7 linked regions of the Cricetulus griseus genome follow. The protein of the gene in region 1 interacts with the protein of each later gene in a pairwise test. Links are inferred from orthologs where the notes say so. Each region holds a gene or a part of one and is shown on either strand. Other genes may lie near its edges.

Evidence for each region.
Region 2: the proteins of Tfip11 (region 1) and Zgpat interact in binary tests that used the Homo sapiens proteins (3 or more experiments, as listed by UniProt). The two-hybrid records come from large-scale screens. The link is inferred for Cricetulus griseus from reciprocal best matches to the Homo sapiens genes TFIP11 and ZGPAT.
Region 3: the proteins of Tfip11 (region 1) and Disc1 interact in binary tests that used the Homo sapiens proteins (3 or more experiments, as listed by UniProt). The link is inferred for Cricetulus griseus from reciprocal best matches to the Homo sapiens genes TFIP11 and DISC1.
Region 4: the proteins of Tfip11 (region 1) and Armcx1 interact in binary tests that used the Homo sapiens proteins (3 or more experiments, as listed by UniProt). The two-hybrid records come from large-scale screens. The link is inferred for Cricetulus griseus from reciprocal best matches to the Homo sapiens genes TFIP11 and ARMCX1.
Region 5: the proteins of Tfip11 (region 1) and Gem interact in binary tests that used the Homo sapiens proteins (3 or more experiments, as listed by UniProt). The two-hybrid records come from large-scale screens. The link is inferred for Cricetulus griseus from reciprocal best matches to the Homo sapiens genes TFIP11 and GEM.
Region 6: the proteins of Tfip11 (region 1) and cytochrome c oxidase subunit 5B, mitochondrial interact in binary tests that used the Homo sapiens proteins (3 or more experiments, as listed by UniProt). The two-hybrid records come from large-scale screens. The link is inferred for Cricetulus griseus from reciprocal best matches to the Homo sapiens genes TFIP11 and COX5B.
Region 7: the proteins of Tfip11 (region 1) and Ccdc42 interact in binary tests that used the Homo sapiens proteins (3 or more experiments, as listed by UniProt). The two-hybrid records come from large-scale screens. The link is inferred for Cricetulus griseus from reciprocal best matches to the Homo sapiens genes TFIP11 and CCDC42.

The regions. Positions count from the first base shown.
Region 1 is NC_048597.1:92,004,157-92,007,656, forward strand, and holds part of Tfip11 (tuftelin-interacting protein 11), read left to right. Parts: intron 1-987; coding exon 988-1,141; intron 1,142-1,408; coding exon 1,409-1,565; intron 1,566-2,501; coding exon 2,502-2,629; intron 2,630-3,302; coding exon 3,303-3,455; intron 3,456-3,500. UniProt on the Homo sapiens protein: Involved in pre-mRNA splicing, specifically in spliceosome disassembly during late-stage splicing events. Intron turnover seems to proceed through reactions in two lariat-intron associated complexes termed Intron Large (IL) and Intron Small (IS).
Region 2 is NC_048599.1:523,034-526,202, reverse strand, and holds the end of Zgpat (zinc finger CCCH-type with G patch domain-containing protein), read left to right. Parts: intron 1-202; coding exon 203-336; intron 337-555; coding exon 556-711; intron 712-1,453; coding exon 1,454-1,573; intron 1,574-1,661; coding exon 1,662-2,067; intron 2,068-2,261; coding exon 2,262-2,400; 3' UTR 2,401-2,669; downstream 2,670-3,169. UniProt on the Homo sapiens protein: Transcription repressor that specifically binds the 5'-GGAG[GA]A[GA]A-3' consensus sequence. Represses transcription by recruiting the chromatin multiprotein complex NuRD to target promoters.
Region 3 is NC_048596.1:201,987,762-201,991,261, reverse strand, and holds part of Disc1 (disrupted in schizophrenia 1 protein), read right to left. Parts: intron 3,216-3,500; coding exon 2,942-3,215; intron 1-2,941. UniProt on the Homo sapiens protein: Involved in the regulation of multiple aspects of embryonic and adult neurogenesis. Required for neural progenitor proliferation in the ventrical/subventrical zone during embryonic brain development and in the adult dentate gyrus of the hippocampus.
Region 4 is NC_048604.1:45,377,433-45,381,419, reverse strand, and holds the start of Armcx1 (armadillo repeat-containing X-linked protein 1), read left to right. Parts: upstream 1-1,187; 5' UTR 1,188-1,350; intron 1,351-1,995; exon of another isoform or gene 1,996-2,122; intron 2,123-2,228; 5' UTR 2,229-2,312; exon of another isoform or gene 2,313-2,316; intron 2,317-3,092; 5' UTR 3,093-3,142; exon of another isoform or gene 3,143-3,188; intron 3,189-3,454; 5' UTR 3,455-3,585; coding exon 3,586-3,987. UniProt on the Homo sapiens protein: Regulates mitochondrial transport during axon regeneration. Increases the proportion of motile mitochondria by recruiting stationary mitochondria into the motile pool. Enhances mitochondria movement and neurite growth in both adult axons and embryonic neurons.
Region 5 is NC_048595.1:125,845,786-125,849,285, forward strand, and holds part of Gem (GTP-binding protein GEM), read left to right. Parts: intron 1-394; coding exon 395-471; intron 472-1,241; coding exon 1,242-1,446; intron 1,447-2,855; coding exon 2,856-3,133; 3' UTR 3,134-3,500. UniProt on the Homo sapiens protein: Could be a regulatory protein, possibly participating in receptor-mediated signal transduction at the plasma membrane. Has guanine nucleotide-binding activity but undetectable intrinsic GTPase activity.
Region 6 is NW_023276807.1:11,509,191-11,513,119, reverse strand, and holds cytochrome c oxidase subunit 5B, mitochondrial, read left to right. Parts: upstream 1-1,389; 5' UTR 1,390-1,443; coding exon 1,444-1,546; intron 1,547-2,087; coding exon 2,088-2,161; intron 2,162-2,330; coding exon 2,331-2,430; intron 2,431-3,237; coding exon 3,238-3,350; 3' UTR 3,351-3,429; downstream 3,430-3,929. UniProt on the Homo sapiens protein: Component of the cytochrome c oxidase, the last enzyme in the mitochondrial electron transport chain which drives oxidative phosphorylation.
Region 7 is NC_048600.1:82,480,016-82,483,515, forward strand, and holds part of Ccdc42 (coiled-coil domain-containing protein 42), read left to right. Parts: intron 1-1,255; coding exon 1,256-1,453; intron 1,454-3,500. UniProt on the Homo sapiens protein: Essential for male fertility. Required for sperm development.

The sequences.
Region 1 (3,500 bases):
GCTTTACCACTCTAAAAGCTAAAAACATTCTTTTCAATTGTAAAGGGGGGGGGGCAGTGGGATGGCTCAGCAAGTAAAGCTGCTTACCACTGCCACACAAGCCTGGCTATCGGAGTTCTATCACCAGATCCTACATAAGAAGTGAAAAGGAAGACCCACCCCACAAAGTTGCCCTCTGACCTTCACATGCTTGCGAGGCACATGTGCCCTCATCGTGCACATTTTTAAAAGTGTCAAAGGGAGGGCTGGAGAGATGGCTCAGAGGTTAAGAGCACTGGCTGCTCTTCCAAAGGTCCTGAGTTCAATTCCCAGCAAGCATATGGTGGCTCACAACCATCCAAAATGAGATCTGGCGCCTTCTTCTGGTCTGCAGGGACACATGCAGACAGAACACTGTATACATAATAAATAAATAAATAAATAAATCTTTAAAAAAAAAAAAGGTGTCAAAGGTAGTGGGGCAGTGGTGGCACACACCTTTAATCCCAGCACTCAGGAGGCAGAGACAGGAGGATCTCTGTGAGTTCAAGACCAGCCTGCTCTACAAGCGCTAATTCCAGGACAGCCTCCAAAGTCACAGAGACACCCTGTCTCGAAAAACCAAAAGTAAAAAAAAAAAGTGTCAAAGGGAAGTAAGGTTATTACATCATCTTTTTAATTTATAATCAACTCTGGGAGCCTATCCTGGCACTCACTGTGTAAACCAGGCTGGCCTCAGACTCACAGATATCCACCTGCCTCTGCCTCCCGAGTGCTGGGATTAAAGGCATGTATCACCACTGCCTGGCAAGATATTATAATTTTTAATATGCTAAACATAAGATTATTGGAGGTCAGTTTTGAGTCCCTTTTGGCATTTGGGCATAATAAACATATTATGGTTTAAAGTGGATCCCACGAGGCCCCTCTCTCTAAGAAGTTCTCTCTGTGAGGACAGGGTGCTGCAGAGGTGTTTTCTAGCCTTGGGGGATTTGTGTCTGTTTACAGGGCCCGAGACTATTCTGCACCGGTCAACTTCATCAGCGCAGGGCTCAAGAAAGGGGCAGCTGAAGAAGCGGACTCTGATGATTCTGATGATGATGAAAAGCCTGCGAAGCAGGAGGACTTTCCAAAGGACTTAGGACCAAAGAAGTTAAAAACGGTAGGTCTCACAGGATAGTCTCTAAGTGGCAACAGTCAGAGGTCATCAGTGCAGCAACTTCTTTGGCAGAGAGAAGCCCAGTGGGCAACTGTGTATGCTACCCCCATAGGTCCTGAGTCTCTTTCCTGGTCTGTGTCCCTGATGTGGTTTCGGTCTACACACAGCTTTTCATAGCACACTGGCTGCAGGCTGTTCTCTCTCTCATTGGCATTCTCCCTTTTATTCTGTGTTTCTTTCTCACCCATGCTCATCAGGCCTTCTTTGCAGGGTGGCAATTTTAAGCCCAGCCAGAAAGGCTTTGCTGGAGGAACCAAGTCGTTCATGGACTTTGGCAGCTGGGAGAGACACACAAAGGGCATCGGGCAGAAGCTGCTACAGAAGATGGGCTACGTCCCTGGGCGGGGCCTGGGGAAGAATGCACAGGGTGAGTGAGGCTGTGGCCCAAGAGGAGTTTGGTAGAGGGATGCCTCGTCTGCCTCTTCCCTTTAGGAAGCCCGTCAAGTATGGGGTGATCTCTGCGGATCAGGTCCTGGGAAGGATGCTTAAACTCAAACCCAAACAAAACAGCTGTTAACTTTGCAGCTGGATTTGGCAGCATGGGCCACTTGTGCTCTCCAGCTGCCCAGCTTTTCCAGAATCCAGGTTCAGTAAAGCGCTTCCTTAAGTAGGAAGGAAAGCGGTAGGGTCTAGAGTGGCTGTACATAACTGATAATATTTGCAAGTCAGACTATTTCACCAAGAACTCTATAGAGTTTGCCTGGCAGGAGTTTGTTAGCTTCACAGCTTCCTCTGGGCTGTGTGAGGTCTTATAAAGCAATGTCCTCAGCTCCCTGTGGCCCGCCAAGTGATCATGTGTGTGAGCCTGCTTGGGCTCTGAAGGCTCAGCTCTGTAGTCCCTGCTTCGGTGGTCCCTACCTTTGTTGTCAGTGTGCAGCATGGCAGCCTTCACCTACTAAAGATGTGCCTGCTGCTGGCTGACCAGACCATGTTGTTTCCCACATACACCAGCCCCACTGAGAAAGAGTCCCGGGCACGCACAGCTCATCACCTTGGCCATGAGGAACAAGAACTTGGCCTTTTCCAGCAGGAACTGGGTCCAGTGTAATTAATACCCAGGGCCACCCATAGTCATTTCAGCTAGTGCCAAGCTTGTACTGGGAAGAGAGTGGCAGAGCATCTGTGATGTCACTCCTCAAGTCCCCAGAGCGTGACACTGTCCTGAGCACAAGGAAGGTGCTGCTGTGCTGTTGTAAGTAGCAGTGTGCTGTGAGCTGAGGAGCAGGAAGTGTCCACTCAGTTGTGTCTTCACATGGGTTCCCGCGATCTGAAGTCTTTCTGTCTTCCACCTGTCCTTGCTCAGGAATCATCAATCCCATTGAGGCCAAACAGAGAAAAGGCAAAGGAGCCGTGGGAGCCTACGGCTCAGAGCGAACCACTCAGTCTCTGCAGGACTTCCCTGTGGCTGACTCAGAAGAAGAGGCTGAAGAGGTAATGAGAAGGCAGCCGTGTGGGTGTGGCTTGGGCCATTACAGACAGCTGCAATTCATGGGTTATGCATTCTGATGGCCTTTGGGTGTCACCACACACCTGCTTATGTGGCAGGCCCTACTAGGGGCTCAGTGTGCAGCCAATGGCATCATGCCATCATAGGCTTAGGTGTGTGTAAGGGGCCTGCTGTAAGACAGTAGGCAGGGTGGGACCTGAGACATGCCTCCGTATGGTGGTCTGACTGCAGTGTAGGCTCTGCTCAGCTAAGAAACAGCCCTATATGGGACTAGGTGCCATTATTTCTGAACAGCTGCAACTCCAGATAGTTCAAAGAATGACAGGTTAGAGCAGGGTGAGAAATAAAACGGCAGTCATGGAACTGACTTGTAGGGTGGGTGTGTCCTCACGCATAGTATCCTCTGCTCACCATTTTCTGTGGAGGTCGGCCAGGTGGGGGCGAGTGCTTTCTAAGCTCTGCCTAAGTTAGTGAGGACTGGCAGAGCTGCGCCCTTCCCTTGAGGACCCTGCCTTGGCATCTCAACCCTTGTACTGTACACGGATGGGTGTTGAGAAGTGGTGCTTGGTGGCTACGGGCTTGCTAAGGGCCTTGTCCTGGCTGCTTGCTGTGGAGGAGGCCCCTGCTATTGACGTTCTCTGCCTCCCTCTGCTCCAGGAGTTTCAGAAGGAGCTGAGCCAGTGGAGGAAAGACCCCAGCGGGAGCAAGAAGAAGCCCAAGTACTCCTATAAGACTGTGGAGGAGCTGAAAGCCAAGGGCAGGGTCAGCAAGAAGCTCACAGCACCTCAGAAGGAGCTGTCTCAGGTCAAGGTATGAGGACGGCACATTGGTCCCCGTCCATCCTCTGAAGACTTT
Region 2 (3,169 bases), on another chromosome or scaffold:
TGAATGTATGTGTGTGAGAGAGAAATGTGTCCATAAACCCATAGGTATGAAAGTGTAGATGTTTTTGCTGGTGTGCCTGTCTTGGGTTCTTGAATTTCACTCCATTATAGGCAGTGCCCTGTTGATGGTCTCTGTGATTCTGGGCTTACATGCTCCTAGTGGGCCATGTCTAAGCCACTGCCTCCTGTGGTTACATCTACAGGTTCTCCCATGGGCAGGTGGTCTCTGTGGATGAGCTGCGCCCTTTCCAGGATCCAGACTTGAGCTTACTGCAGACTGGCTCTGCTTGTCTGGCCAAGCACCAGGATGGCCTTTGGCACCCAGCACGGATCACCGGTGAGATTGCCTACAAGGGCCTACCTGGTGGGACCCTTTTTGAAACATCCTTTTTTTTTTTTCCTTAAAGCCATTCTCTACCTCCTCTGGGTTGAGCTTTGACGTCATCTGGGCCCAAGAGGAGCAAGTCTGTCTTTGCCCCAAGCCCCCTCCCTTCCTGTCTCTCATTTTGCTCCTAACTGGTTGCTGCTAACCTACAGCCTGTCTCTGTCACCCTAGATGTGGACAATGGCTACTATACTGTTAAATTTGACTCACTGCTGCTGAAGGAGGCTGTGGTAGAGGGAGACAGCATCCTGCCTCCTCTGCGCACAGAGGCTACAGAGTCATCTGACTCAGACAGTGGTGATGCAAGTGACTCCAGCTATGCCAGAGGTATGGCAGAAATCAGTACCCAGAAGCCAGGCTGGTCAGGGAATAGACCTAGACAGGCACCCAGCTGTCAGGATAATTGTAGAACAAGTGATGTGGTGAGAAGCTTAGCACAGTAATCTACAGGAGAGGGCCCAAAGGACCAGAGTGTGTGTGATGGGCCTGGGTAAGACCTAAGACCTAGCTTTTGCCTTTAAGAAACAGACACAACAATCATATGTAAGAGTCAGAACTCCCTGAAGCAAGATAGCACCTCACTGTCAGAATGGAATGTTGGTGCTAGGTCTGCCAAGGAGTCACAGGAAGTAACTGAATGTAGAACATAGGAAAGGTTGGCTTCTTCAGATGGCTTCCCAGATTTAGAGCTTGGGTGCCTGGTAGGTAGGGGAGAAGAGATCTCTGCAGATGGAAAATGTGTCTAGGTAAAATAGAGAGTTCAGGAAATTAGGTAATATATAATCCTCCTGAGAGATTGGTTAGGATGAAGACAGGAAGGAGTATCAGGGAACCTGTGATGTGAGTTGGTAGTTTCTGAGCTCCTATCCATGGTGGCAGATAGTAAGCTAAAGCAGTCAAGTTGGTTACCACACAGCTATCTCTCAAGGTAGAGTTGCCAGGAGTGCCCACAGCATGTTTGGGGAACCTGAGGGGACCAGAAATCCAGGAGATCAGGCCCTACCTAGGGCCTGAGTTCTTGGGTAGTGTTGGCTAGAACCCACTACTTGGAGTCCTCTGTCTCCTGCAGTGGTGGAACCAAACACCGTGGACACCGGAACCTGCAGTTCTGCCTTTGCTGGTTGGGAGGTACATACACGAGGCATTGGCTCCAAACTCCTAGTCAAGATGGGCTATGAGTTTGGCAAGGGTGAGTGTGTGCTGCCCTGAGATGGGAGGGTTGCCTCATGATAGCCTAAGAGTCTGGCAGAGGCAGCACAAGGCCCTGTCTTTCCCAGGTTTGGGTCGGCATGCAGAAGGCCGAGTGGAGCCCATCCATGCCGTAGTGTTGCCTAGAGGGAAATCACTGGACCAGTGCACAGAGATACTACAGAAGAAGACAAAGGGAGGCCAGGCTGGGACCAATAGGCCTCCAAGATGTCGGAGGAGTGGTGGTAGACCCGAGGGCCGCCCACCCCCTCGGAATGTGTTTGACTTTCTGAATGAAAAACTGCAAAGCCAGGCGCCTGAGACCCCAGATGCTGGGGTGGACACTCCAGGGAAAAGGAACAAGGACATGTATCATGCCAGCAAAAGTGCCAAGCAGGCTCTGAGTCTGCAGCTCTTCCAGACTGAGGAGAAGATTGAGCGGACCCAACGGGACATCCGGGGCATCCAGGAGGCCCTAACCCGGAATGCTGGCCGGTATGTGTGGGGTCCAGCTGAGGCAGTATGGGCTCCAGTGGCTGTGCCCGCAGGGTACCTGCTAAAGGTCACCGATCTCAGTAGCCCCTGAGTCTGAAGTGGTCTGAATATTGGAGAATGGGCATTGGCCACAGCATCTGGGGGCCTGGTAGTGGGGAGCCAGGAGATAATGCTGACCAGCAGGCTCTCCCTAGGCACAGCATGGCAACAGCCCATCTGCAGGAGAAGCTGGAGGGAGCCCAGCGGAAACTGGGTCAGCTGCGTGCTCAAGAAGCTGGCCTACAGAGGGAGCAGCGGAAGGCAGATACCCACAGGAAGATGACAGAGTTTTAGCAGCCCTGCCTATATTGTGGACAGAGCCCTGGGACCAACTCCAAACTGCGTTGGCAGAAAGACGGCTGGCACCCTGACACTTGAACCTGGAAGAGGGTTCAGCCCATTCCAAGGCTGTCCCTTGTTCAGCCTTGTCAGCCTAACGTGTATGAATACTACTGAGTAGACATGGGGTGTCAGGGTTGATTTTGAACATTTATTTGCCCACCAAGCCCATCTACCAGTGTCTTGGGGTAGCTCCTTAGGACATTAAAGTGATTTCATCACAATTTCTCTCACTGGAGACTCAACTGTCTTCAGGATCTCTGGGGACAAATGGATCTGTGTAGGTCCTTGCGACAGACAGGTGGACTGGGGGTGGGAAGGTCCCAAATGAGGCCACTGCCTCTGTTCAAGGCCCAAGAGTCCAAAAAAGGAGCATCTTCCCTCTTCTCCCTTCTCTGACCAAGTGGGTAAGATCTTAGGGTAGCTCTTCAGTGCCCAGTACTCATAAGCAGGTAGGGTATATGAAATAGAAACACTGTTGGGAACTCCATCAGTGATGAAAGCAGGCAGGCCTGACTCAAGTGAGTTTGGGGTTCATTTCTGGTTTTCAGTTGCCACTGATAATCCATCCAGTTGACCTGCTCTGTCCACCTCATTCATGAGTATCTGCCACATTGGGGTGGAGTTTTGTGTTAGTTTTGTGGTAATTGCCTATTGATGGCAAATAACCATGATGAGATGTGAGGCGGTGAGCGGAGACTGGGAGCAACTGCGCAAGAGCTAT
Region 3 (3,500 bases), on another chromosome or scaffold:
AAGGCTTTGAAACCATCTCCCTGTGGACCTCTGTAAGAAGCCCTCGATTTGTCATGGAAGATTTGGATTGAAAAGCAATTGCCTGCCCCCAGGGTGTCATGCTTCAATAGGAAAACCAGTGTGTGTGTGGGGGGGGGGGTAGCCTGGCCCAGCAGCGCCTTGCAAAGCCAAATACACCTGGAGCTGCAAAGCAAAGGGACATTTTGCCTCAAGATAAACACATCATCCCTCCCCAGACTTCAATAGCCCCTGAAAAGCAAGACAGGAAGACAAAACCACCTTCACCAGGAGACCCCCAAGTATCACACCTCTGAGGCTTAGTGGTCTAAAATCTCCCAGCAAACACAAGCAAGCTTTCCCCTTTATAGCCTGCCTCTCCTTAGGCATCTCTCTCATTCACTGCTCACTTTCTCCTCCTGACAATGCCAGCAAAGTAGATTATCAAAGGGTGTTTTAGGTGTTGTGACCTCCAGAACACCAGAGATACAGAAATTAACACTAGCCAGGCTTTACCACGTGTACAGGCACTACAACTAACAAGACAAAAGAGATGGCCCAATGTGATGTAGCCTGCCCTGGTCATACATGCCTCCCATGACAGGCTGAGGTCTCTGAAATAGTGAGCCAAAGACATTCTCTCCTCTCTTGTTTCTGTCAGGCATTTGGTCATGGTAACAGGAAGGGTAATTAATGCCACTAAAAACTTAGTTCTGATTATTCTCTCTTGATTTTTGCGGCCATTGTTACTTTTGTATGTGTCTGTGTAGGTAAGTATGTGTGTGTGAGTTTGTATGTGCATGCATGGTGACAAGGGTGTGCACAGGTATTTGTGTTTGCACAGGGAGACTATTCTTGTGTGTGTATGTGCATATGGAGTCCAGAAGCCAACTTCAGATGTCAGTCCTTGTTTTTTTGAGACAGGGTCTCTTACTGCACTGAGGTTCACCAATTTGGCAGGCTGGCAAAGTCAGTGATACTCCTGTGTCTACATCCATGGTGCTGGGCTTATAAGCTTATACTACCTTGCCCAGCCTTTTATGTGGGTGCTGGGAATTTAACTCAAGTTCTCATGCTTACACAGCAAACACTCTACCCATTGAACCATCCCTCCAGCCCACGTTGTTGCTGGTGTTGAGTCAGTGGATGAGAAGATGCAGCCTCCCAGCAGCAGAAATGGAACCTGAACTCCAAGCTGAGCCCTCTCCTCCCCTGAGCTCTCAGAGTCTTGAGGTAAGTCCCCCTGTTTCATATACAGCCCTGTTTTAAGCAGGCAGACATTGCATTAAGCTTTTAGTCAGTTCTGAAAAGTTATGTGCAATTTTTTCCACTGTAAAGCCATGATTCAGATGGCTACATATATATACATAGTGGTTCCACCACAAGACAGAAAACACATCTGTCACTACTCCCAGATTCTTTCTTCCCAGCTTCCAGGCAATGAGACCTGCTCTCCAGTCCCATCATTTTTGCCTTTCCCAAAAAATATCTATCATCTTAAGATCTATGGTATTTGTGAATTCAAAGAATGCCGGTTCAATGTTCCTGGACCCCTCTGTGCATACCTAAGACTACAGACAGCATCAAACCTAAGTAGAACAATTTTTCATATGTATACCTATCTGTGACAAAGCCTGATTTATAAATTAGACATGGTCAGAGATTAGCAGCAACACGTGTTTTAAAGTAAAACAAATATAACAAAATACTGCCATCTCACCTTTAAGATGTTCTGTTGGCTTCAGGCTCCTGAAATAGGCTCAGGGTTTGCTATGACCTTCCCAGTAAAATGTTGGCTCCATGAGAAGCTGTTAAGTATTTGGGAAACTATGTTGCAATTCCAGAGAGAATATTGGGTATTGAAGGAGTTCTCCTTAAAGCCTACCCAGCCGAGGCTAGCAGGGACCCAGAGAGACTATGATACTACTCATCTTCCCATGGGGACATGTGTTCAAATACAAGCACAGCCAGTCCTCAGACAGCACAGACACAGTGACCGGTTGTTATGCTGAACACAGGGCACAGGGTCTGTAATGTCACGACTCTAGTCCTAATCAGGAGCAGGAGACCCTGCAGGTTGGCTAGGGTGCTTTCCCCACCCACTCTCCCATCTCATTGAATTTTGGCAAAGACAAAGGAAGGGGTGCAATGGGATTTGAAAAGTCAAGGTGAGGGCATGAGTCAGGCAGCAGCTATAGCCAACTTCTTCCCTTACAGAACATATGGGACCTGACGGAATACCCAGAAACCACCAAATAAGGAACTTGGAAGCCTCAGAGGGAAGACATGTACCCAAGGAACCCCTCTGGACTTCAGGCAGGAGCAGAATGGAAAGCTGGGAAAGTGGGGTGAGGGAGCTTTCTCCACTTGTCAGGGTCAGGCCCTGATTTTAAAAATTAAGTAATATCATGTTCTAATGGAAATGTACACATCAGGCCAAACAACAGGGCTCTCTGCTCTTTGTTTTGCTTTGATTTCATGAAAAAAAATGAACCACAAACATTCATCATGATCTGTTTTTGGTGAAAATGACACCATGTATTAGAATTCAAACATTAGAATGTTTGAATTCATAAATGATATAATCTATAGGCTCTAGAAATACAATTGAATATATATGATATACAGTCTGTATAACAACCTATGTTATATAAGATGCATAGTGCATACTACATATGATTCTATATGAACTTCCTTATTCTAGAATGAATTAGAACAATGGGGCCCTCTAAACTAGAATTAAAAAGAAAGCTAATGTTCTAAGCTTTTCTCTTTGCTCGTCTATGTTTTAAGCTTCAAAAAGCTATACACTATTTTGTTATCGTATTCAAGAGTTGTATGAATTTTGGGAACTTTGTGAGGGTCTATGGCAACCCCCCTCCAGTTCTGTTTGTTCTCATCGCCACATGGACCCCTGAAAAAGTCACGCATACATAGGACAAACCTCTTTCTGTTGGCCTCCAGCACAGTGTGGTAAGGGGGTTGAGTGAATGCTCCATGCATTGAGCACCTGCAAGGGGGTCTTCTCCTCTTCTGGGTGTGGTCTGGGATGGGCAGTCAGGGTGGCTGTCCAGGTGGCCTCTCCTATGCTGTCCATCTGCTTCTCACCTTCTGCATGTGGGTTGATGCCTGCTTCCTGGAGCCGCAGACTCTGCATCAGCAGCTGACAAGCCTCCAAGTCGGCTTTCCACACTCTTGCAAGCAGTGGACACCTGCAGCTAAGACAGAGGGAAGCAGGCATGGAAATTAGCCCAGCAATGGCTCATGCTACCCATGGACAGTATGTTAGTATCAGGGGGTCATCTTACACTCCATGACATCATTTTATAGAGACAAAACTTCAACCTGGAGACATAGAGGGACCAAAATCTGTGTGTCTCTAGTCACAGTGATATCCACGTGGGTCCTTCTTAGCTGTCTGGTCAGCAAGGACACCCAGAATCCCATTTGCTCTTCCAAGAACAGTTACCCAGTACATCTGGCCCTATACTCCTGCTGGATCT
Region 4 (3,987 bases), on another chromosome or scaffold:
GACAGAAACAACTGTTGGCAAGGATGTTCTCAGGTACTGATAGCAGCAGCAGGATCATGAGCACCACGAACAAGGCCAGAGAGGTAGGTGGAAATAGGAAGCTCTTCTACGCAAGAGATACGTCTTGGGAATTTGAGGAAGGCATGAAGGAACCAAAGATATTTACTTGTTATCTGAATAAAGGTGGTATATATTATTTTGGTTACCCATAGTTGTATGTGTGTGTGTGTATGTGTGGTTGGACTGAGCGACAAACAGCTGCCTGGATACAGGGAACGAGAGGCTCTGGAATGCACGGTGGCACATTCCTCACTTCTTGGTAGGGCACAGAGAATGGGACCATCCCATCTTCTCTCACTCTCAGCTGTCTCAGCTTTAGTAGACTCGAATCTAATCCAGGGGCAGGTGTTTAGAGCCACTAAATCTTCCCTGTAGCAATCAATAAAGACTCTGGGTTCTTAAATACATGTTTTACCTTAATTAAATAAGTTAGGATTGATAATGTTGCTTTTATTTCACCAAGTTGCAAGTTGAGGCAAAAGTAGGGAAAAAAAAAAAAAAGAGCGGTTTGTATAAAATGGTCCAAATCAGACAACTGGCTGTCTTTTCTTAACGTATTCATAAATCATGGCAAAAAATCCAGTTTTCAATTTTAAAAACAAATTAATTGGTGCATTTTGAAAGCAACTATTTTTCTGCAATCAGTAGAAATATTTTGTGCGATAAATGCATATATATTGCAATTAGTAAGGCCCACTCGGTTTTCCTCTTCTACTTGGATTTTTCTCCAACAAATTATAAATGTTATAAAACATAAATTTTATATCCTTAATGTAAAAGCAAAGCTGATTTTTAACAAGTGGGCAGAAAATTTAACAAAACCAATTTTACTCTGTGTCCCTTTTTCTAAAATCCTGTTTGGTATAGGAGTGCAGGGGAAATGCTGGACTTTCCCAGCTGAAAGAGAAGGGGGAGAAGGGACGAGCACCTAGGGGTGGGAATAAAGAAAAGCCAGGATTATTCCTAAAAGAGGAAGAAAAGGCCAATGCAGCCTCTGCGTTAACCATAGAAAGGCAAATCCCAACCACAAAAGAAGCTCCTTCTGGTTTGGGGACTAACAAAGAGGAAATGAATAGCCGAATCTGGTGTGGCCAGGAAGGAAGGGGAAAGGCTGCCTCCTGTCGCAGTGTTGGCGGGAGTGTAGTGGAGTCCTGATCTCACTGGTGACGTGACCCTCACGTGAGCCGAAGCCGACGTGTGCAGACGTTGTTCTAATGCTACGATCGGTGTTTGCTCTCTCTGTGTTATTGTTGACTGCGGGCAGGCCTGCTGCTGAAGCAGGAGGAGAAGGTAATTGCCTGGGTCCCAGCAGGTCTGTGTTGTGGAAGGGGGATGCCGGGGGATCACTGTCTTGTCGGTAGCGCTGTAGCAGAGTTGCCAGCCTGCTCTCTTCATGCACTTGCAATGTCTTCGGACCCTCTTAGAACAACAACAACAACAAAAACAAAAAACATTGGAGGGAGAGATTCCAGGGGAGACCCCAGATTAGGTTTGGGGGGCGGGGAGTCTTTGGCATGTCCGGACCTAGAATCGGGAAGGGCAGGTATTATGGTTTGGTGCATGAATCCACCTTCGAGGACAGGATTTTGAGGCAGTGAGACTCTTATCCTCTGTCATTCATCAGTAGAGTGCAGTACCTTTTGGAGCAAAGGAATAATCGTCATCGAATTTCTGCATGTCAGTCAGTCTAAAGCTGAGATTGCTACAGGCCGGCAAATGGGTGGTGATGGCTTAGGGCTTTATCATAACTCTAGGCCATTATTGAATCTTTAGCAAACTACGTGTCTGTTCTCCCCTGTCCCGCCCCAGGAAAAAAGGACAGTTCTCACAATTCTACAGAAAAAAATGGCTGTCTTTGGGGGTGGGCTGGATTGGGGGAGAACAGAAGAGATCTGTCATATTCCACAGCTCGAGTTTTCCGTACTCGCTGGGCCCGCCTCCAGCCCTGCGCTTCCAAAGGGGTGTGGTTTTTGCTGGGAAAATGGCCGACCACCGCAGAAAGGAGTGCCAGGATGTAGTGATATAGTGCCGCGGGGTGTCAGCAGAGTCCAGAGAACTGGGGGTAGGGTGAGAAGTAAAATCATGAAATCCGTCTGACCAACCAGGTTCCCAGATTTGGGAAAGTCGGCATTTAGATGGTCTAAGTTTTGTGTTTTGTCTCTGCTTAGGCGCCTGTATCTGTGGATCTTGCTACTGAAGACCAGTCCAAACGGAGGAGGAGCAGGGGAAGGAGGAAAAATTTCCTGAATTAAGTAGGTCAGAGGAAGCGTGATGACACTGTTTGGGGGGGGGTCCTTGGACTCAGACTTTCTCTGCATCCCTGGTTCCGTGGTTTTTTTTTTCTTTTGGTTTTTGTTTTATGTTGTTTCTCTGCATCCCCACTTTACTTTGTTCCTGAGCTTGCAAAAGGAAGCACTTTGCAGATAAGAAACCCGGAAGGAGATGGTTAGGTGGGGATATCCATAGAGAATGCTGGGTTGGAAATGGGGATGGCATTATTCTAAAATCCTGTATGGTGCAGTGTCCTTGGTGTTAGTCTAATAGGCACCCAGTCTGTTAGTCCTTAAGTTTGTGAAGTTAGGAACTGAGATGAGGGAGGAAAGAAATTTCACAGGGCAGTGAAAAATGATACAATTGTTCAATAGACTGAGAGGATGTGTTTAAGATAGTCAGGGTGTTAGAAGCAAGTGCGGATAATGTCTATCTGATTTCTAGGCACTGCTGTCCATTTCTTCACAAGTTAGGGTATGTAGTATCACCTTTGGAAGAAGTGACAAATAGGGTAAGTGGGGCAGGGCAGGAAACTGATCTTCCAAGGAGGAGGGGAAGGGAGACAATGCCATGTCCCTGCAGTGAGGAAGGTAATAGAAGGTAAGAAACACTGCAGTGAAGGGCAAGGGCCTGGAAATTCAGAAGATGGATATCTATCTCTATCTCTATCTCTATCTCTATCTCTATCTCTATCCTTTTGGGTGTGATTTATCTGGTTCTTGAATTCTCAGATCAGACCTCTGTATTGTTTTTGTTTGCAGATCTTCAAGAGTCTGGAAAGGAACAAGGGACTACTTGGATCTCTGAGGGTGTATGTAAGGGTAACCCTGTGACCCTGATTCAGGACATCTGGAAGGGTAAAGATCATAGGCAACATATAAATCTATTCAATTTAACATTCTTGGAATGGGTGGAAAAACGTAAGGTTGGAGAATCTGGGTGTTTAGCAAACTTCCAAAATTGCTTCCAGATAAAGGAAAGGAATAATGATGAGGATACCAAGTTCTAAATGCTAGCCAATATCTCTGTACATTTATATGTTTGTGGGCAAGTGATTCAGTCTATATATGTACAAAGGCACAACTGGAGAAGTTGAAAGTCTGAAAGCTTTTCCTTCTTCTAGGTCTCACTGTATCTGCTGTGTTAGCTGCTCCTACCTACAAGAGCTGAAGACTTTGTCCCTGACTTGGGAGTACTCTGGACCAGAGCAAGCCAGCTTTGTGTCCAGGTTAAGGGATTCACCCCACCTGTACCATGGGCCGCACTCGCGAAGCTGGATGTGTGGCTGCAGGCATGGTCATCGGGGCTGGTGCCTGCTACTGTGTATACAGACTGACCTGGGGAAAAGATGAGAATGAGAAACTGTGGGATGATGAAGAAGAGGAGGAAGAGGAGGAGGAAGAGTCTTGTAGTGACAAACCAGAAACTGGGGGCAAAACTGAGAAAGGAGTTAAGACTAATGTTGGTGTGGGGGCTGGACCTCAGGATGACTCAAAGCCCAAGGCTGATGTAAAGGTGGGGCAGGAAAATGATCCAGGTGTAAAGATCGAAGCACACCCAGAATCCCAGGGTGAAGGTGGCCTAGAAGCTAAGGCTAAAGCCCTTTTCAAGATCCTAAAGGAACAGGCAAGTGCAAAGGCAGGCAGAGGGATCAGG
Region 5 (3,500 bases), on another chromosome or scaffold:
CATATGTGTAGATTTGTGTACATGTGCACATGGATACCAGAAGTCAGACTCGGGTTGTTCTTCCCGAGACAGCCATCTTGTTTTGTGAGACAGAGCCTCTGGGCTTGGAGCTAGCTGAGTTGGCTAGGCTGGCTGGCCAGTGGACCCTAAGGATATGCCTGTTTCTGCCTTCCTAAAGCAAGGGTTACAAGTGCTCACCGCCATGCTTGGCTTTGCACATGGGTTCTGAGGACTGAACTCAGTCCTTGCGCTTGCTCAGTCAGCATGTTACTTACTGAGAGATGCCTCCTCAGCCCCCACAGAACATATTTCTAGTGAGACTTTGACAGGAGCCTCTTATGCCCAAGTCTTTCTTAATCACCTGACTCTGATAGCAATGTTCTTTCTTTTCTAGAAGACACATATGAGCGCACCCTGGTCGTTGATGGTGAGAGTGCAACGATTATCCTCCTGGACATGTGGGAAAATAAGGTATGCAGGGCCTGTGGCTGCCAGTGATTTCTTTTAGGCCTTGCCTTTCAACAGGCTGCTTGGGGCCAGAGTGACCTTGTCCTACATAGTGGATGTTCCAGATGCAGTGGGCTCATTTTCTTGATTAAAAACATTTACTTCTGAAGAACGAGACTGCTGAGGAACAGGTCGTCCACAGATGAGCCCTAAAGAACAAACAAATTGCAGTGGCTTGCCCTGAGTTCTATTAAAAACCACAAGAAACGTATTTGTTTTAGGGAAAGTTCAAACAAGCATGGTCACTTATTTTCAATGACACAAAACCACTTTGTGTGAAGCTGACCTTCTCAACACTGCATTCCAGCATGGCTTTTGATGGTTCTAGGTCTCCCAGTACATATGCAAGATTGTTGGTTGATTGAGAACCCTCCTATTCTCCCAAAGGATTTGTAGTTCTGCCCTTTGGGGAAAACAAAAGGAAGCTTTTAGGGAGTCAGAAAAGTCCATTTTGGGCAGGCTAGATTGTAATCGGAAATACTGTTTGTCACAGTAGCTATGCACCATATCAGCTCAAGCTGTACTAGTAATTGGAAAATAAGTTTCTTGGGCATAAAAACAATGCAGACTGCTTTTTTTTGTCCCTAGACATCTTGGAAGACAATGCATATTGAGGTGTTGGAAGCAGTTTTCTTCCTTTCTCTTACTTGGGATAGACATGCAGTTTCTTTGCAAAATGACACCTCAATTTTCAGGCTTGCCTAAGCTCACGGGAGGTCTTCGTATTTCATTAGGGGGAGAATGAATGGCTCCAGGACCATTGCATGCAGGTTGGGGATGCCTACCTCATCGTCTACTCCATCACAGACCGAGCGAGCTTTGAGAAGGCATCTGAGCTAAGGATCCAGCTCCGCAGGGCCCGACAGACAGAAGACATTCCCATCATTTTGGTTGGCAACAAAAGTGACTTAGTGAGGTGCCGAGAAGTGTCTGTGTCAGGTGAGAGGGTGTGCAATTCTGGGCACCGCCCTTGTACTGCATACACTGGACCACAGTGGGGTTCTCTCTCCCTTTTCCAGGGCCTCAGTGGGATGCTCCATGAAGGCTTATGTCTAAGACTCCAATGGTTCCCATCAGTTTTGTTAGTCATCTCTTGTTCTCTTCATCCTCTGGTCTACCTAAAGGGTTCCAGGCTTCCCACTGCCCTTTGGGTGTTCTCCTGGAGTTACTTTAGGGAAGAGAGCATCCTCAGGAATTTACTGGCAGTCTTGACCTTTGCTTCTTAACCTTTTATTCTTCAAGCAGATTCTACATTTAGGGGAGGAAAAGTGGTGTATTAATGCAAGGATGGGGAGCTCTTGGTTAGGAGACAAAAGAAACAGTTATACTTGGGTTGTTAGTACTCCATCTAATACTCTCTAACCCCAGCCCCTCCTTCCTAAACTTCTGGGAGAGCATGATACTGTTGGGACCACACATGAGTCTCCATCCTTATTTCAAGGGTCATTCCTATTTGATGAGTGTGCCTCTGTATTCTTTTTAAGGCCCTCGAGATTATATTGGTTTAATGTAGATTGCGTAGAACCATAAAAATGAAATATGGCACTTTCAGGCCCTGCTCAGTCAAAATGATTTTTCTAGCTACTTGGACTGTCTTACTAGGACACCACAGTATTCCGTGTTTAGATCTTTTCAAACTCAAACTTGGACACATGGCTACTAAACATAATATCTGAAATCAAGAGTTTTAGAAAAGCTTGAATAGTTTGACGTTTTATATATTTATAAAATCATCATATTCCTCAAAAGATCTCATCTCATCATACTTTTCTTTTTAAAAGACAGGAAAGCTAAATAGTAAACTTGGAATTAGAGTTTTTAGTGAGGGACACTGAGTCAGGAGAAAGTGTATAAGCTTGAGCACGGAACAGGGCTGGTTGTCCTGTCACTGTCAGCTGTGTGAGTTCCTTCCCATTTTTAAACACTTCACTCAGTTTCTTCGTCTCTCCGATGATAATAATGGTATATTTTCCAAGTTTGTTCTGAGCAGTGAAAAGGCTTTGGAAAGAACTTGGCCTGCTTTTGTGAATGTAGCAAACCTTTAGGAAGTGGAGGCCAGGGCTCTTGCTGTTGTAATTAGTATCAGTGTATTTGATGAAATTTTACTTTTCCATAGTGAATTTTTGGTGAGCTGGATCTAACCGGTTTCCTGGAATCCTCTTATTGTTTATTTCTACTCTTACCCGGGGGAAGATGTGTGCCCTGGTGCCCCCCTCCTCTTACAATGCAGTCTACTGCTCTATGCTATCTCTATTGCAGTTTTGGAGAAGTGTCCTTTAGCTTGACCACACTGTGCAGGATCATACTCTGTGACCCCTCTGACTTTCTTTCCTCTTCCTCCTTTCCAGAAGGGAGAGCTTGTGCTGTGGTGTTCGACTGCAAATTCATTGAGACGTCTGCAGCCGTGCAGCACAATGTGAAGGAACTGTTTGAGGGCATCGTGAGGCAGGTCCGCCTGCGCCGGGACAGCAAGGAGAAGAACGAGAGGAGGCTGGCCTACCAGAAGAGGAGGGAGAGCATCCCCAGGAAAGCCAGGCGCTTCTGGGGCAAGATTGTGGCCAAGAACAACAAGAACATGGCCTTCAAGCTCAAGTCAAAATCCTGCCATGACCTCTCTGTTCTCTAGGCACCCAGTGTCACCCAGATGTCCCCTTGATGGACATCGTAGAAGGCCCTTGGGACCAGTGATCTATATTAGATTGAATACATAAGCATTGTTAGTGGTGGCTTCCCCTGTTGCAAATGGGAACCAACAGGTTAGCCTCATGGGCAACCAAGTGCACGGGCAAGGAATCTTTGTCAAGAGTCAGTATTTATTCATAGGAACATCTTGATTTGCTACATGGGCACCTGAGACTCATTTAAGGGCATATTTGGGGTTCACATGAGTTTTGTTTTTGCCTTCTTTGGGCAGCAGAATATTGAAGCTTATGAAGAATACCTAGAACAGGAGTGTGTCTAATCATTGAAGTGTTGCCCAGTTTTGTTCTATG
Region 6 (3,929 bases), on another chromosome or scaffold:
GCCAAACCCAGCTTTATGTGGGCACTGGAGCTCAAACTCAGGGTCCCGTGGTTACATTTTATGGACTGTGCCATTTCTCAGCCTTCACACATCTGATCTTGGTGACCAGAATGAGGGTCAGATTTTCTTGAGCTGGACAAGTCCTGACAAAATTCTCCTCTTTTTAGGGAAATCTATGAGAGTGAGAAGCAAGTATATATTAGATACCTTTTTATCGCTGTGATAAGACACTGTGACCAATGCAACTTATAAAAATGTTGAAAATAATCTACACATGGCAGGTGGCAACACCCAGGAATTTAGTCCTTTGTAGTTGCCCTCAAATTGACCTATAAGCTTTATATTTGGTCCAAACGGCCAGACTTACTAGAAATTATTTGATATTATTATATGCAAGACCTCTACAAGGTATTGGAGCACAATTAGGGAAGCACAGTTGTGTTTGAAAGTCCTCTAGCCGTCCTGCCATGAGTTTTCACAGTTTACCTGCAGTGTGCAGTGGGGAGCAATGGGATGTGTTTTCCGTTTAAATTAGAGACCTCTGTCCACTGTAACTATTGTGATTTCTAATTGCATTATTAACTTTCCTTCCTTCCTCCTTCTAGAATCCTCCTCATTGATCATAACTTCGCAGAGTGGCCACCAGGAGGTATCCTGCATCCATCCCTGGGGCCAACACCATCACTTCTAATGACACTGTTAAAGGAGGAAATTGAGGTGATGCCAATACTTTAATCCCAGCAGGGGTAGCCAGATCTCTGTGAGCTCGAGACCAGTCTGATCAACAAGCGAGTTCCGGGTCAGTCAGGGTTGATTGTACATAGTGATTCCCTGCCTTAAAAAAAAAGAAGGAAGGAAGGAAGGAAGGAAGGAAGGAAGGAAGGAAGGAAGGAAGGAAGGAAGGAAGGAAGGAAGGAAGGAAGGAAGGAGGGAAGGAAACTGAGGCCGAGACTGTGGGGAGGTCCCGTCAAATTCTGACAGGGTGGGACTACGCAACAGATTGGTGATGGCTAATGCTCTGCCTGAGGACCCGAACCGGCGACTAACAGGCACGTCAAACAAAGCTTCCCGAGCTCAAGCCCATCTGTGTCACTTGTGGTGCAGCAAGTCCCCACTGAGGGGGACTTCAGCTTCCAACAGCACCTCCACCACAGGAACGTCAATGTGGCCGGGACACACAGGCGCGAGCACGCAAGCGCAACAGTGGCAAAACCGAAAGCCGCCAGCTGCCATGGTGACTGACGCCACGCCTCCGAGGCTGACGGAGTCTGCGCGGCGGGCGCAGAGGCAGAGCTGCTCATGCGCAGCATCTACCTTAGCGGCCTGGGCAGGCCGGGGGAGGAAGCGGAAGGCTGACTGGTCGTTGACTGACGCCCATCGCCGGAAGTCCCGCCTATCTTGCCGAGCCCGTTCCCGGAAGTGCATCTGCTTGTCTCGGGCGAGATGGCTTCAAGGTTACTTCGCGGAGTGGGAGCTCTGGCGGCGCAGGCCCTGAGGGCTCGTGGGCCCCATGGCGCGGTTGCGACACGCTCCTTTGCTTCTGGAGGTTTGTGGCCAGCTGGGCGCGCCAGGCCGGTGTCCGGGGCCTCGGGGGTGGTTGGTGATGGCGCGGTCGAGCGGGGTCGGCCATTGAGCTGCTTCGGGCCCTGTTGACCACCTCACGCTCCCGGAGTCTGCGCTCCGAGCGGTCTGGCTGTAATTTCGGCCGCCCAGCCCCCGCCCAGGATTGACCCCGATTCTAAAGTGCCCTGACTGGAAGGTGCCGGGTGACCTTGAGAGACAGGGACTGTTGGAGCGGTGGGAAAAGACTGGACCGATTTTGAGATTCCCTGCCCACCTCCAGCCAGCTATCTCTCATTGATTACTTGGTTTTTAGAAAAAGTCGAAAAGCAAGCCTCGGCGGCTGGAGGGGGAAACTTCCCCTAAGGCTTTGGGAGTCATGACTCAGTGGGCTTAGGGGACTGTGGGAATGGGTGACTTGAGAGCCCACCAAAGACGCTTACAATGTCACCTTTCCCGTGTTGATCATTTGAGCGTGTATTCATCGTGGTCCTATCAGTTGGCATAATTCATTTTTCTTCTTTTAGGTGGTGTTCCTACTGATGAGGAGCAGGCTACAGGGCTGGAGAGGGAGATCATGATAGCAGCAGAGAAGGGACTGGTAAGGAAAAACTCCCTGTGTCTTCTGGAGCCCTTGGACTTGGATGGGATCAGAGGAGTCTCCAGTCAGCCAGCATTTGGTCCTGGAAACCCAACTTGTAGGAACAGCCCCTTTGCAGTGTAGTTGCAGGGGATGTCTGTAGTAACTGGTCAATTCTTGCCTTTTTCAGGATCCATACAATATGCTACCTCCAAAAGCGGCTTCAGGCACCAAGGAAGATCCTAATTTAGTCCCTTCCATCACCAACAAGCGAATAGTGGGCTGCATCTGTAAGTACCTTGCCTTTATTGTCTGTCCATTTGTTCATGACCTGCTACACAGAATCTCTGTAAATTGCTTCAGATCTGTGCATGTGACTGACTATATGTGCATAAAAAATACTGGTATAAATTGTCCTAAGTGTTCTGTCTCAAGCCTCAGAATGCATGAGAGCCACTAGAGTCAGATGCCCCTGGAGCTGTAGTTACAAATAAGGTTGTGAGTCATCTGATAGGGATACTGGGAATTGAACTCAGGTTCTCTGGAAGAGCAGTCTATGGTCTTAAAACATGTTGAACCATCTTTCCAGCCCAGATTTTTTTTTTTTTTTAAATGTATACAGTCTTCTGCCTGCATGCCAGCAGACTGTGCCAGATCTTATTCAAGTCGGTTGTGAGCCACCATGTGGTTGCTGGGAATTGAACTCAGGACCTCTGGAAGAATATAGTCAGTGCTCTTAACCGCTGAGCCATCTCTCCAGCCTCCAGCCCAGATTTTATATATAAATATATTTGTATGCCAGGCACTGTTTTAGGCTCTAGAGATACAAATAAGTACTGATCCTGCTTTGGGATTCTGTGTAGGGAATGGAATTGTTAGAACCTACAGTGACCCTGATACAAGGTTATTTTACTCACAGGTAAACTCAGCCCCATTTTTTCATTTGAAAGAGCAGAGTTTGCTTGAAGTGACTTCTTAAAGTCAACCACAGTTTTTTTGGGTTTTTTCTCTAAAGTGTTTGTAGGAAAAGATGAATGTTGTAAGTCTCCCTTTGTACGCTGGAGCTGGATGACTTTGAGCTGCCTTTTCCCTTTCAGGTGAAGAGGACAACTGCACTGTCATCTGGTTTTGGCTGCACAAAGGCGAGGTCCAGCGATGCCCCAGCTGTGGAACCCATTATAAGCTGGTGCCCCACCAACTGGTCCACTGAGCCTCTGTGTTAACTTTTCAGAATGTGATGGAAAGTTTATCTCTAATAAAGACTAGCCATTGTATTGGCTCCTCCCATAGGTGGCTAGTCTTATTTCTGTAGGTTTTATTTGTTTTGTTTGTAGACACGGTTTCTTTGTGTATTCTTGGCTGTCCTGGCACTCACTCTGTAGACCAGGCTGGCCTTGAATTCACAGAGATCTGCCTACCTCTGCCTCCCCAGTGCTAGGATCAAAGGTGTGCTCCACCACTACTGCCCGGCTTCTATAGATTTTTTTTTTATGTTGAGATCAGTTGTTTCTTAATACTGGCTTGACATCTACTGAGAATGTAAAACCAGTATAGAGCTGTTAGATTTTTATTTAATTTTTTTTTTTTTTTTTTATATAAGGATGGTGGGGGCAAAAACCAAGGAAGATTTTAAAGGGTGAAAGCAATGGCAATATTTGGACCTTGCTTGGATCCTGATATGTTTTGTTTGTTTGTTTTGTGTTTTTGTTTTTGTTTAAGATTTTTCTTATGTATACAGAATTCTACCTGCATGTACACACGCAGGACAGGAGAGAACACTAGATCTCAT
Region 7 (3,500 bases), on another chromosome or scaffold:
GCACTATGTCAGGAGAACATGTGGGCTTCCCAACCCTGGATGAGCCACCTGCCCCATGACAAATGGCCACCACTAAAAACAGAACCACAAAAGCTTTGTCAAGGACTTCCTTCTTCCACTCAGCCTTCCTCAGCCTCATTGGATGCAAGAGAGTGAAAGACCCCTGCCCCTTAGCCCTTTCTTTCTCAAGTTTGCCTCCTCCTCCAGTCGGCGGCTTCCCCATCCCCACCCCCACCGGCCTCCACTTCCCCCGCTGACGCACGCCCGGCCAGAGGGCGAGCACCAGGTGGGCCGGCCCGAGGGCGAGCACCAGGTGGGCCGGCCGAGGGCGAGCACCAGGTGGGCCGGCCTGGGGCCCTGCCCCCGCGCCCCCGCCCGATGGGGAACACTCCGTCCCAAGGTCTCCGCCCCCAAGGTCAGCCATCTGGAGGGAGGGAAATTGAGTCTGTTGTACCAGACACCAGACCTTGAGAATATGCTGGTCTGGAATGGCTCTGTGCCTCATTTGAACCATCCAATAGAAATGACTCTGTACTTTGCCTCATTTGAATAACTCTATACTTCACCTCATTTGAATAACCCTATATAGCGCCTCATTTAAATTGACCAATAGGAATAACACTGTACTGCGCCTCATTTGAATTATCCAATAGAATCTCTGCTTCTCGCTTCTGTATTGCGCTTTCTGCTATATAAGGACCCCTCTCCCTTGGCTCGGCGCGCTTGGCCCAACAGAAGCTAAGCCGCCCCGGGTACCCGTGCCGCTAATAAAGCCTCTTGCAGTTTGCATCCAAGTTCGTGGTCTCGCTGATTCCTGGGTACGGGTCTCCTCCTACGAAAGTACCTCTTCAGGGGTCTTTCAAGAGATCTTCCTCTACCCTCCTTTCTGTGTGTTCTCTTCCCAGCCCCCACTCTCTGAAGCCTAGGGACCAACTCCCACAGCATCTGAATTTCCTGCTTGCATGCCCCCACCAGACTCCTTCTTGACCTTAAACTGAATTTCTGCACTCACAGCCTCCTCAGGCCACAGAAGTCTCTTAGCTTAACTAAGTCCTTTCAAATAACCAAAGTCTCACAAAATTCTTCCTTCATGCCTCCTTTCCAACATGGGCAGCCAGGCAAGCTCTGCCCTCCCTTCCAGTGGTCTGAGTTCAGCAAATAGAGGGGGTTTAGGGTGTCGCCAGTCCCAGGTAGGCCAGGGTCTCAGGGAGAGAGGGTGAGGCTTGTTTGATTTCTGTTGCCTCCCTCATTGCAGGAGAATGACCAGAAGCGGATCCGAGCCCTGAAAAAAGCCAACAAAGAGCGAGAACTGAAAAGGCAGCGCCTGCGGGAGCTGGCCAAGGCCAAGCAGGAGATGAATGCTCTGAGGCTGGAGCACCAGAGGCTGTGTGTCAAGCTTCAGGACTACGCCATCTTCAACAAGTACCTAGAGAAGGTGGTGGAGAACTCTGAGGTGGGTCCCCTGGCTGGGGGTGTTGCACTACAGGGCCCTCCACAGCACCCTTTTCTCTTTCCAAGTTAGCAGAATATAGCTCAGCTCCAGATGGCTAGGGTTTAGGGGCCCTTGGAATGGTTATCTTGCTTTGGGGAGAGGCAGCAACCCTGGGGGACAGACGGCCAAGATCCCTCAATGGGTAGGAGGACCTGATGGTTTATCTGTGCAAAGCTATATGTGAAATGAGTGTTTACATATGCATCTGTGTATGTCTGAGTCTGTGTGTGTGTGTGTGTGTGTGTGTGTGTGTGTGAGAGAGAGAGAGAGAGAGAGAGAGAGAGAGAGGAGAGAGAGAGAGAGAGAGGGGAGAGAGAGAGAGAGAGAGAGAGAGAGAGAGAGAGAGAGAGAGAGAGAGAGAGAGAGAGAGAGAAGGTGGTTGGGGAGGAGAGGAAAAATATGAAAACACCTCCCCTCCGAGGACCTGGGCACTTAGGACTTCATGCAGGCTGATTAGGAGTTTATACAGTCAGCCTTCTTTCTGTCACCAACCACTGGGAAGAATAAACAGACCATCCCTTTATGGGGAGATAGAGGCTCAGGAAGGTTAAGGCACCTGCTCAGGATCTCACAGCTTGGAAATGGCATGGCTTGTTATTTTCCCCACTCTACTGAGGACCCCTCTGGGCCATAGGTGTCCCGCCCCCTGTCTTTGCAGGCCCTGTCACCCCAGCTCAGGACATTTTTAGCCCTCTTCTGGCAGCACCTCTTGCAACATTTGATGTTGGGCATTGCTCCTCTGACATCTCCTTGGGTCTTATATTCTGCTCCCTCCTTCCCAGGCTCCTCTGGGGCCTCCTCTTCCCAAGTTTTTCCTTTAGCAAGACTGACTCTGCCTCAGACTTGCCACAGTACAGCCATAACTGTGCTTCCTCCTTACCCCATGCCCTGTAACCATCAATCAGATATGGTCTATTCTGCCTCTTAGGTATTTCTGGAATCTAACCCCTGCCCCTTCCTCTTTCCTCACGCTGTGTGCTTCATCTGGTGTTACCTCTGCCCTTTGCTCTTTTGCATTCTACAGTCTTCTCCTCCCTCCTCTTTCTCTTTCTCCACCTCCTGTTTCTTCTCCTCCTCTCATCCCACCCCCCACACTGGAAAGCATAGAGAAAAACTTAACACTCTAAACATAGAGAACTCAACACACAGCTTTGTATAATCTTAATTTTTCCTCAATTCTTTTCTTTTCTTTTTTTCTCTCTTCTTTTTTCTGAAATAAAACATTACTGGTAATTTAAACCCCTTATATGTCCATCCAAATTTCAGTCTTCCTCTCTTCAGGGGTCACCAGTATCATAGTTTTTAAATTGCTCATTTTCATGCATGTCTCTATTTTGTGACTATCAGCTATCCATAAACTATGCATTATATTATACATATCCTTCTATGTCTTAGCCTTTTTTTCCCAATGGATGATTTCTCTTCCATTCTTAAACTCTTGTCTTTTAGATTTATTTTTATTTATTTTGTGCATATGAATGCTTCAACCTACATGTACGCTTGCGCACCACATGCATTTCTGGTGCCCTCTGAGATCTAAAGAGGACACTGGAGCCCCCAGGACTGGAGTTAAGATGGTTGTGAGTTACCATGCAGGTGCTGGGAACTGAAGCCAGTTTCTGCCAGAGCAGCTAGTGCTTTTGGCTGCTGACTTTTAACTTTTAACAATCATCTGTCCAGGAGTATGATTTCTTAAAATAATATTTTTAAATGATACATAATGATTGTATATGTTTGTAGGATATACTGAGGTGTGTGTGTGTGTGTGTGTGTGTGTGTGTGTGTGTGTGTGTGTGCACTTCATAGTGATCACGTTGGGGTAACTGACATATCCATCACCTCAAACATCTATGGCTTCCTTTTTGTTGGGGATATTCAGATCCTCTGTACTGTTTTGAAATCTACAATTCATTATTGTCAATCATAGTTACCCTACCACACTGTACAGAATATTAAAAATTCTTCTTTTCTTTCAACTGCCCATAATCTTAGTCAATAGTACTTTCAG